3 linked regions of the Coturnix japonica genome follow. The protein of the gene in region 2 interacts with the protein of the main gene of each other region in a pairwise test. Links are inferred from orthologs where the notes say so. Each region holds a gene or a part of one and is shown on either strand. Other genes may lie near its edges.

Region 1 (4,387 bases), on a different chromosome or scaffold from region 2:
GCAGCGGAGGCGAGCAGGGGCTGAGCGCCCGCAGGGTACACAGTGCCATCCGTCCCGGCCAGGATGGGCCCGTTGGAGAAGCTGGCAGAAGTGACGGACTTCATAGCAGACATGGGGACCTGGGACAGCCGGCTGGACGGGGCGGGCTGAGCTTCCCCGGCAGATGATGAAGACGACGATGACGAAGACGCAGATGGGGGCTGAGCTGCTTTGTTGAGGTTCTCCTTAACTTTGCTTGCATAACTTATTTTGGGAACGATTTTAGCACTGCTATTGTCCACTGGAAAAACCGGGGGTGGTTTAAATAAGGTCCACGAGTCCTCCTTAGACGCGGCCGACGAAGCGTGCTTCCCTTTGGGCCGCTCATCAAACTTCTTGCCGCTAATCCCAGGTTTGGCATCCGAGTTTTTCCTCTGCACGTCTCCAATTCCTGGTTTCCCCCTGCCCGCCCCGCCGCCCCCCGCCTCGTATTTCCAAACAGGCTTCGTATTCTCAATTCGGTTCCCCTTTTGCTCGCTATAATCAGGCTTGAAACTCTCCAGTTCCTGTTTGAGGGCCGGCGTGCCGACCTCCTGTTGCATTACTTTGTCCTGCGTGAGGTTCAAGCTCTCGCAGCCCTTGGCGCTGTTGCGCCGGCCTTTCCTTTTCTTTGGGGTGGTGTAGCCACTCTCGGAGCCGCTCCCGTCGTTGTCGGCCCCCCCTTTGCCCACGTAGCCATTGGTGATGTAGGTGGCACCGCCGCTCACCACGCCGTTGGGGACGGACACCCCGTCCTGCTTGTCGGCAGGCTGAGCCTCCCTCACTTTGCTGTCGTAGGGCTTCTCATTCTTTTTGTCCATGCTATTTTTCTGAACAAAATTCTTGGGTTTGATGGCGGCTTTCCCCAGAGAGCTGCCCTTCACAGACGGCTTCGGGGTCACGTTGGGGTCTGCGGGCTGCTGGCTGCCATTGGGCACCCTGGACGTGGGGCTGGTGGTCTCCTCTGAGCACAGAGACTTCAGTGACACCTCTCTGTCCCCTGCGTTACCGTTCAGCTCTCCATAGCCTGGAAGAAACCAAGAAGAGACAAAAGAGCAAAGATGAGAATGTGCAGCATTAAAGTTCTGACTGCAACAAGCTGCGCCCCGTTTCCTCAAGGTGTTCTGAAATAGGGAAACATCAGCTCCCCCATAAAACCACCGCAGGAGCACAGCATGGCCTGGGTTGCAAAGGAACGCAATGATCATCTGGTTCCAACCCCCTGCTGTGTGCAGGGTCACCAACCAGGCTGCCCAGAGCCACATCCAGCCTGGCCTTGAATGCCTGCAGGGATGGGGCACCCACAGCCTCCTTGGGCAACATGGGACACACTACAGTGTGTCACCACCCTCTCCTCAGATCCAACCCAAACCTCCCCTGTCTCAGTTTCAACCCATTCCCCCTTGTCCTATTGCTGCCCAATCCACACCATCTCCATCCACACAGAGCAGGGCTGAGCACCACCCATGGATTCACACACAGCACAGGGACAGCAGCGCGTTGTTGGACACAAGGAGCAAAACAAAGCAGGAGGGACACAGGGATGCGAGGAGAGGAAAGCAGGCAGCCCTGCAAAGCCCATCGCAATCCAGAGAGCGATTTCATCAGCACCATTTCCAGGTCACGCAGAGGAAATTCCCAGGATGCTTTAACAGGGGCTGCTCCTCTCAGCCCGGAGCTGGTGGCATCGTGTCCCTGCAGCACCGGGCCGGGCCCACGGCACCTCCAGCACCGCGAAAAGCAGCGCTCAAAGGGGACACGTGCCGGCACAGCAGCAGATTGGGCTGAGCTGCGGTTTGGGGATGGATGCTCTGGTCATCGCCAACGCTGCTGGATGGAGCAGCCCTTATCTGTGCATCCTGGAGCCTCAGATGCGGGGCAGATGTCAGAGCTCCAGGTCTAAGGGATACGGGAATCCTAATGGAAGGGAATCCTTATGGAAGGGAATCCTTATGGAAGGGAATCCTTATGGAAGGGAATCCTTATGGGACCGCACACACGTGGATCCCTCTGACCGCACGTTTGGCCCGGTTCGGTTCGGTTCGGCGTGTCAGCACTTCCAGGCTCCAATTCCCGAGGCCGCTCCGTTCTCTCCCCAAATCAACAACTGGGCCGGGGGGGCGGGGGGGGGGCGGCGAGGAAGGGGCGTGCAAAGGGACGGGGTGTGGGGTAAAGGGGGGTGCGGGGTAAAAGGGGCTGGTCCCGTCCATGCCCCGCGCAGCGCAGGCCCGGCCCGGCCTTTCCCCCCCGTTATCGCTCTCGCCGCCCCACGCGGTCCCGCCGCCCCGCACACCGTGTGTGTCCCGCCCGCTCCCCCCGCACATTCCTCCTGTCCCCGCTCCCCGTCCCGCTCCCCCCGCTCCCACCCCGTCCCGCATCATCCCGCACCGCTCCGCAGCCCCACGTGCCCCGCGCCGCCCGCAGCCGCGCCGGCTCCAACATGGCGGACAGGAAGCGGCCCCAGCGCGGCGGAGAAGCTTCCAGCCGGGCCGGGGGAGGAGGATGATGAAGGATGGAGGATGGATGAAGGATGAAGCCCCCCCCCCAGGAGCCGCCCGCCGCCCCCCGCCCCGCACCTGTTCTCCGCTTGGGCCCCTCCGGGTGTCGGAGCGTCGCTTTGGGCTGGGCCCGGCCGTCGGGCGGCGGCAGGAAGGAGCTCTGCGGGTAATAGCAGAAGTGCCGGTGGTGCGGGTGGTGGTGGTGGTGGTGGTGGTGCCCGTGGTGGTGGTGGTGCGGGTGGTGCGGGGGCTGCTCCTCCATTGGGGGAGGGGAAGGGGGGGAAGAAGCTTTGCGGGGCCGGGCTGGGCGCTGTGTCGCTGCTGGGCCGAGCGGCGGAGCGGGGACGAGGCTCCGGGTGGCGCGGGGGAGGCGGGGGGGGGAGGGATGGGAGAAACGGAGCTGCAATCACAGAACGGCACCGCCCCCAGCACCGCCCCGCAGCGAGGAGAGCGGCGGAACGGGAAGAGGAGAGCGGGGAGGGGGCGGTGCTGGGGAGCGGGGGGATATGGGGGGATATAGGGGGTATAGGGGGATATAGGGGGTATGGGGGGAGCGGAGAGATACCGAGATTCCCGAATAAACGGGGGAGGTTTGGGAGCGCGGAAAGGCGCTGAGCGGGGCGGGGTGGGAAGGCGGCGTGGGGTGAGTCCGAGTGTTTTGCTTCCCCCGGCTTCAATCGCAGCATCACGGTGTGACCCGGCTCGGAACGGAGCCCCAGCGGCGTCCAGCTCAACGCCCGGCTCCGAGCGGCACCGACCCGCCGTCCTTGCCCCCCTCTGCAGCTCCGTGATGTCCGCGGCCAAATGAGCCCACGGGGGACGGTCCCGGCTGGGTAATGGAGCCCCAGAGCTTTGGGGTGTCACTCCACGGCCACGCGGAACAACGCGGACCCCACGTTCCCCACGGACACCCAACGGGGCGGTGGGATTTGGGCTCCATTAGCAGCGCAGGGGGATGGGGGGTCGCCAGGGGGACACACTTGGGATGGAGAGACCCAAAAGTGAGCCCACGTTTTGTCTGGGTCAGATGGAGATCCCCATGCAGGCAGCGCTCAGTGCGGCTTTAACCTCCTGCAGCAAACAGGGCGATAGAATTGAAGCCCATCACAATATCCTCCCAAAGAGTATCCAGAGGGCACAGACCGCCCTTAACCACCACTTCCTACCTTCTCCCACATAACAACCCCATATATTTCAATAAAGCTCAGCTCCGTCCTGCATCACACAGAGCCCCCCCACACCTCAGTGCAGCACAGGGGTTGTCCTCCTGCATAACCCTGCACACAAGGCAAAACTTCCTACTGTGCTGACCTCACTTAGGAAACAGCTCCCGAAGCGAGGAGCCGGGCTTTAATCACAGCTCACATTTTATTGGTGGCTTGGAAGTGGTTTATTCTCAATGTAAGGGACTGGTTTGGAGACAGGAGCTTCAAAGGACTCTGGAGAAAGCGAGTAATTATGGACAAATCATCTCCGCACACAGAGACAGCAGAAATCTAAATGCAAAGCTCAGAGGGATGGCTGGACATGAAGGGACTTTCTCTCCTTAGAAGCTCCGCTCTGTGTGTGCATCACATGGAGCATCCAGAGCAGGAGAAACCAGATGGAAACACACATAAAGGCTCATCCCAGTGATTTGTAGGAATCATTTCTAAGACCAGTTCCCTCTCGAAGGTCTATTTGACACCAGGTTTAATTTGCATCGTATGTTCAGGGCGAGCTGGAATGAGAGAATTCATCCACAGGAAGAGAAAGATCTCATCAGCCATGGGAAGAAAAGGGACTTATTGCGTCCACCTCCATCCAACACGTCAGCAGCACACAGCCATGATGCAGCAGGTGGTATGGGGTGATATGGGGTGATATGGGGT
Region 2 (2,483 bases):
GAGCACACAAAACCTCAGCATCACACATAACCTATTCAATATTATTTTAGTACCAGTTTCTTCAAGCTGGACCCCCCACTTCAGATTCTTAAAGTTGACAAGCGTCCCTTTTCATTGGTAGTAGTGATCAGTGCATTTTCAAAATGAAGTTAGATGAAAATTGTTACTGCTTTAATATTGTTGTTTTATTTTCCTTTTCAGGAAAGGAAGGATTCAGCTGCACATCTTGTGTATGGAGCTACAGTTTGTTAAGTGGAATGTGCACCTCAGACTGCTTTGTAGGTTACTACAAAGTCCAGGAGGCACCAGGACAAGAGGTAATACTCACAGGCACTTGGTCCTGTGATTAGTATGCTGTCCTTTAACTTCTGAACACAACACAAACACAGAATGTTCTTCTCTGAGTTTTCAAGGCTTTTAAAAAGCCTCTTCTCTTGACAAAGAAAGCATTGTTTCTCTTCTTGGATCTTTCTGTTTTAGAACACTTCTCTAAGAGTAATTATAAAGACATTACTCTGCCAAAGATGATACGAAAGTCATGTGTACAAAATGAACTATGTTATTAAAAGAGTATTTATTTTACCCTAGTTTAACTGAGATTTCCACTGGGATTTCTGCTTCTTTGTTTGTGAGAAATCACATCACATTTCTGAAAGGCAGTTCTGCTAGCAGGAATCTAGTGAAAAGAGAGGCTGAAGTTAACGCTGTATATTTAACAGAATAAGAACACAATCAGGTTTGTGTCTGTGCAGCTAGCTTGCTTCCTGGTTTCTACACCAATTGCCTTCCAAAGATGTTTGTTCAAGAATATAGCAGCAAAGCAAGACAACTGGCCAGAGATCACAGAATCTCACAGTCACAGAATTGCAGAAGTTGAAAGGGACATAAAGAGATCACAGAGTCCAACTTCCCCACTAAAGCAAGTACAATTGGTCACACAGGTAGGCACCCAGACAGGTCCTAGATATCGCCATAGAATAAGACTCCATAACCTCTCTGGGCAACCTGTTCCAGTGCTCTGTCGCTCTTACTATAAAAAAAGTTCTTTCACATATTATTACATGTCAGAGTTACCTAGATCAATCTATGTCCATAACAGGAGGGCAGTAAGCTCGTGGACCCCCCTGCCTGGGCAGCCTGATCTAGTGTATGGTAGCCCTGCCCATGGCAGGGAGTTGGAGCAAGGTGAACTTTAGCCTCCCTTCCAACCCAAGCCATTCTATGACTGCGTTTCTGTGAAATAGAACCAATGCAAGCTAATAAAATTTTACATTGCTATAAAATTTCCAGCCAACTTTGCTCCTTATTTCTGTCCCTTCCTAATCAGAAAGGGAATTTATTCTCTCATATTTTTGCTTTCTTCTTATTTTTTATTTTTCTTCCTTCAGCGTATTCTCTCTTGCTTCTCCCATCTCAGTACTTTCAATTATACTTGAGTTAATTTTTGGAGGCTGTTTTGATATCATTAGTGCTAAAGAGACACAAATCTAGTACTACAGGACTAGCAAAAGAAAAACAGTTTTTGGAAAAAAAGCATATATGCGGAGTGAGTTCTAGCCAGTTGTCTTGCAGAGTCAGATCTCTAAGCTCCTACAAGTCTTTATCCATCTTCCTACAAGTAGATCAGCACAAGCCTAAGAAGTATTAACAAAATTTCAGTTTTCCTACTCCCTACTGTATTTTGCAATTGATACCTTTGGCATCCAGATGTGACCACTCAGTGAAACACAGAGCAGTACTCTCGGGTTAGGGACAAGGAAGATGAAAAGAAAGGTGCATCATTTGTTTTGTGTCTGAAGGAGGACGAGACGAAGTGTGAGAGATGTGACAGCACATGCACAGAGTGCAAGGGACCTGGACCTCTCAACTGTACCGTCTGTCCAGCTGACATGCAGCTCTACCTGGAAGAAGGCCGCTGCCTACCCTGCTGCAGTGACACTGAACACATCCCAGAGTGCTGTGACTGCAGTGAAACACAAGGTAGGACCATCCTGAGGGGCAGCAGTGCCACTGGTGGACAGTATGGCTGACTAAGCTCACTTCTAGACATGAAGAGGGGAAAAGCAAAAACATACTGCTGAGCTACAACTATGTGGTGTTATTTCTACTGCTCTACCATTAGAATAGGAAGGTCTTTAACCAAATAACAGCAATTGCAACTGCTGCAGTTCTCTCACTCCCATCTACTGTGCCAAATTGCCAAGCACTTCATAAAACAGTTGTCTGGGAAGTGCTTTATTCAATGAATAGCAATTTGAGAACATCATTTTAAGCTCCTAAGTCAAAATCATACTGTCGACTTCAAAACAGCTGTAGTATTTTATACAACTGATGATCTGTAAGGTGGAAAAATATTTTTATGGAGCAAACTGATAGAATTTTGAAAAACAGGCTTGTGGCACACAGCCTGTCTTCAAGTCTTTTTAGGTGCCTGATAGTGAAAAGCATAAATATCTTGGGCAGGGGAGAGATTCTCAATATCT
Region 3 (4,208 bases), on a different chromosome or scaffold from region 2:
TCACCAAAAATTAGGGAGGGGGGATGAAATGCTTTAAAGGACGTCCATTTGTTTAAAAAAGCAGATTAATGAGAAATAAAGGGAGTGATTTTTAATCTAATGAGGGGCGATTATGGATTACAAATATAGAAATGCAGCGACTAACAACAGTTCTTGCTGCCATACATTAGGATGGCATTAAGTAGCATCAGAGCTTAGGATTAATAAAGGGGTGGGGTTAAATGGTTGGTCCAAAATTCTGCCTTTTCCTGAAGAAAAACCAAAGACATTGGAGCTACCCAGCTGCTGTCAGAAGGTGCCTATTTTCAGTTTGTGAAGTTCCTCATTGTGTGAATGGACAGAACGCTTTCTTCCTCGGAGAGAGAAGGGGGCAATCAGCAGTTAACTACTTTGGTCTTCTGAAAGTCTCAGAAAGTGAGGTGTGTAGCACAGTGCTATCAATGTAAGCACAATCGCAACTTGATGTTCCCACCCGTGTCCACTAAATCCAATGGAAGGCTGCAGTCATTTCAGGATACAATCTGTGACATTCCTCAGTGTGTTTTTTTGTATGCATCACAAAATTAAATAAACAGAAAGCAATACGGATACTTCCCTGTCAGTGAAAGGGACCCATTTCCTTTTTTTCCCTTCAGCTTTAAGTACACTGACAAATACAATAAATCCCTACACCGACAGGCATTTTTCAGTAGTAACAGGGACTCAAATTGTAGCACTCCCCATCTGCCGCACAAAAATCTGACAATTCCTTTTATTTCATAAAGCGTAAGGAAGATGCAATGATGGAATTCACCACCGCTGTTTGACAAAGTACAGCTTTCATTCCTGGAAGACTTTTCAGCCCGGCTACATGAGATAAAACTCAACTAATCCTATCTTGAATGACAAAATTAATTTATTAATGTAATAATGGTATCCTTTGGGGTCATTTTCCTAAACGGTTCCAATCGTCCACCACTCTACTGAGCCAACAACATTTTGGCTGCAAGAGGTCACGGTTTCGATTGGGAACTCCACAGCTCTGTGGAAAAGCCTTTCACTTTCTCTTCCTTGATAATATACAATTCGCTACGCCCGCTCAGGAGCTCTCAGAGCACCGAGTCCTTTCCTTCCCAAGTGCCCACTGCCCCCTCGCTGCATCCCTGACGGCCCTTTGGTTTGTGTGTGCTATCTTCACATCGCCTGCACCGCACGCCTTCGGTCAGAGCTGCCCATGCCAGGCTCAGCCGGCTTAAGCAGAGATTATGTCAAGGCTTTTGCGCGCTCAGAGCTCCTGAATCACCCTCCTAAAATAACTGCGGCTCTATATGTTTTTCTGCTCGTCTTTAAGCAAGAGTTGTGGTGTTGTGAAAAGTCAGACAGCTCCTTCCTTCCCTCCGCCCCCGGTACTAGCAACTTTCTAAAGCTTTCAATCACCCGTTTGGCCTACGGACCCCAGTTTTCTCCCCTTCCACGCCGAGGACCGAGCTGCACGCACGGCCAGATCCTACGCACGGAGCGCAAAAGCTTCGGACCGTCCCGTGCAGCCCCACGCTGCGATCTCCCTCTTCAGCGCCGCGATGCCGCAGCCCGCGGTCAGGGCGGAGGCAAGGAGCGTGTCCCGTCCCCAGCTTCGAAGCAGAGGTGGCGGATCGGCAAGAGGGAGGGGGACGAGGGGCCAGATGCTAAAATCCATTCCGAAACTACGAAAGCTCTCGCCCTGTCGGATGGAAACTTTCCTCCCGCCACCGCCACCTTCACTACTTCATGCGCTATCACGTGCTGGATTTTTCCTTTTTATTTCTCCCCCCCCCGCGGCCCTAATAAAGCTGCCCTTAATGACGGACATCCCGAGAACGCGGCCGAGGGCAGCCCGGTGGCAGCCCCGCTGCAAACGGAGCAGGGCCGAGCCGAGACAGCCGGGGCCCTGCAGCGCAGCTCCCCGACACCCTCCGCCCGGGGTTCCCTCCCCGCAGGGAAAGCCGCCGTTACCTGAGCTGTCGCTTTTCCTCTTCCCAGATCTCTTCTCCGTTTCCACAGGGGACAGAGCCTGCCTGCCATAGTCCCCCGGCGCACACGCTGCCCCCGTAGGGGTGGTAGTGCCCAGGCTGGAGGAGTTCGAACACAGCACGGGGGGGCTGCTGCCCAGCTCCGGGGGTCCTCCTGAGTCCGGCTGGAGGCAGAGGCTGTGCCTGGCCGCGGCGGGAGGAGACGACATCTGAGGGATGTGCCAGTTCGTCTGCAAAGCCTGGTGCTGCTGTTGCTGGTGGTGGTGGTGGTGATGATGGTGGTGATGGTGGTGCCCCCTATGATGCTGGCTGGCAAACATGCCCTCCTCATTGGGGTATCCCGTTATTATGCAAGAGGAAGAAGAAGAAGACAGATCGGGGTAGGACATGTGGTCGGATCTTCCATGCAGGGCAAGAGAAGACTGGGAGAAAGGGTGCAAGCTCTGCGCGGTGGCATGGGGGCTGCGCAGGCAGCCAAAGAGTGTGTGATCCATGGCATGCAAGTCTCAGGTTCCAGGCAGGAGAGTTTAGGAAGGATCCAACTTCACCACCCTTTGTCAACTTTCACTGTAAACAGATCGGGGCTGGGATTTTTTTTTCCAAAACGGCAACGACCGACTTTGCAGCAGGCGACTGAGCTCAGATAATCCAGGTCTTTAGCCCTAGCGGCCAGTCTCCGCTGCATAAACACTCGGACCTAGATGAGCCTTTCTCAGAGCCGCTCGGATGTCAAGAAGTGGGAGAGGTTGAAGCCAATAGAAGGTGGTCCCAGAGAACTGCTTGAAGGGGGAAACGGCTCCGAGAGGTTATAAATACAGTAGTGTGTAATGTGAGCTGGGGGCTGGCTTAGCGGCACAGCACTGACCACATGCAAACTCCCTCCAAAACGCCAGCGCCGTCCCCGCGCCGAGCGGCTCCGGCAGCGGGCGGCAGCGCTGCGCGCCCCGGGGGGGGGGGGGGGGGGGGGGGGGGTGGCCGGGGGCGGCCCGGAGGGGAGCAGCGGCTTCTCCTCCCCCTCGACGCGAGGAGCGCGTCCGCCGCTCCGCCGGGGCTGTCCGCTCCCCCCTCCGGACGGATGCGGGGCGAGGCGGGGGGCGTCTGGGCCCCATGGGGCCATCCCCGCACCGCACCTCTCCCAGAAGGGAGCGCGATAAAGGACACCCAGCGGGATGTGCACAGGGGCGAAGTGTGGGAGAAATCAAATACACCTGGAGGGCGCGGGGCTGCAGCCCCACCTGAGCTCCCAGCGTACCTGGGCACGGCACGGCCCGGCTGTGCGAGGCTGTTCTGCCTAGCGCAGCCCCGCAGTCACCTCCGCGCACACCTCGCCCTTAAGGACAGGAGGGACCACCAGTGCCTGTGGGTCTACAACTAAACTCCCGGCGCTCAGCGAGCCGCCACGTGTTTTCGAACACAGACAAGTCGCCCCTTTTGCCCCTCCAAAAGCGCAGTTTACCCAACTTCTCTGCTTCTCCATTTGCTACATTGCAGCCTTTATAGTGGGACAACCTGGAGAGGGACAGCCCGGGCTGCGCGTGTCGTGGGATTAGCAGTAGCGCCGAGGAAGGCTGTATACGGGTTTATATTAAGATAAAGCGCTTACAGAACGCTGCCCAAAGAGATGCCCGCTGCCGAAACGCTGAGTTCCTTCTCCCTTTCTCTTCGCTCTACCTTCCTCGTCCTCCCCGCAAACCAAACTTGAAGTGAAAAGGAAATAAATAAATAAATAAATAAAAAATAAAAGGAAAAAGAAAAAGCACCGCGCTCTGTCATTTCAGTCTAAACTCTTGGGTCCATGTGCGAAAGATAAAATGAATTCGAATTGCCATTGGAAAAAATCAGGAATTGTATGAGATTTGCAAGAGCTGGTTTCTTAAACGGAAATTGAGTCCTATTTTGTGGGAAATTAGTTTTGCAGACTTTCTGGGGGAAAAAAAAAAAAAAAAAATCTAAAACTTTTGTTCAGCAGCTGCTCCGCTTTTCCTTGCAGTTTCAGGCTGAGCTGGAACCTGCAGCAGCCTTTCGACGGTAAGACTTTCCCCCCTTTTCTGCCATCTAATGCTTTTTAAGTATTGTCTCTAGATTTAACTGTAATAATGAGGTCTTTAAAAAGGGAGCGGCGTCCAAAGCAGAAGTCGCTGCCTCCGTGCACTGTTCAAAACTTGATATTTCTTCAGAATAAAGGAAATATACAGTTACAACACTGATGAAATATTTTGT

What was found.
Region 1: the proteins of PCSK5 (region 2) and NUFIP2 interact in binary tests that used the Homo sapiens proteins (3 or more experiments, as listed by UniProt). The two-hybrid records come from large-scale screens. The link is inferred for Coturnix japonica from reciprocal best matches to the Homo sapiens genes PCSK5 and NUFIP2.
Region 3: the proteins of PCSK5 (region 2) and MEOX2 interact in binary tests that used the Homo sapiens proteins (3 or more experiments, as listed by UniProt). The two-hybrid records come from large-scale screens. The link is inferred for Coturnix japonica from reciprocal best matches to the Homo sapiens genes PCSK5 and MEOX2.

The regions. Positions count from the first base shown.
Region 1 is NC_029534.1:4,761,126-4,765,512, forward strand, and holds the start of NUFIP2 (nuclear fragile X mental retardation-interacting protein 2), read right to left. Parts: upstream 2,889-4,387; 5' UTR 2,779-2,888; coding exon 2,595-2,778; exon of another isoform or gene 2,348-2,594; intron 1,046-2,347; coding exon 1-1,045. UniProt on the Homo sapiens protein: Binds RNA.
Region 2 is NC_029547.1:33,589,588-33,592,070, forward strand, and holds part of PCSK5 (proprotein convertase subtilisin/kexin type 5), read left to right. Parts: intron 1-201; coding exon 202-317; intron 318-1,799; coding exon 1,800-1,980; intron 1,981-2,483. UniProt on the Homo sapiens protein: Serine endoprotease that processes various proproteins by cleavage at paired basic amino acids, recognizing the RXXX[KR]R consensus motif. Likely functions in the constitutive and regulated secretory pathways.
Region 3 is NC_029517.1:25,764,096-25,768,303, forward strand, and holds the start of MEOX2 (homeobox protein MOX-2), read right to left. Parts: upstream 2,880-4,208; 5' UTR 2,483-2,879; coding exon 1,972-2,482; intron 1-1,971. UniProt on the Homo sapiens protein: Mesodermal transcription factor that plays a key role in somitogenesis and somitogenesis and limb muscle differentiation. Required during limb development for normal appendicular muscle formation and for the normal regulation of myogenic genes.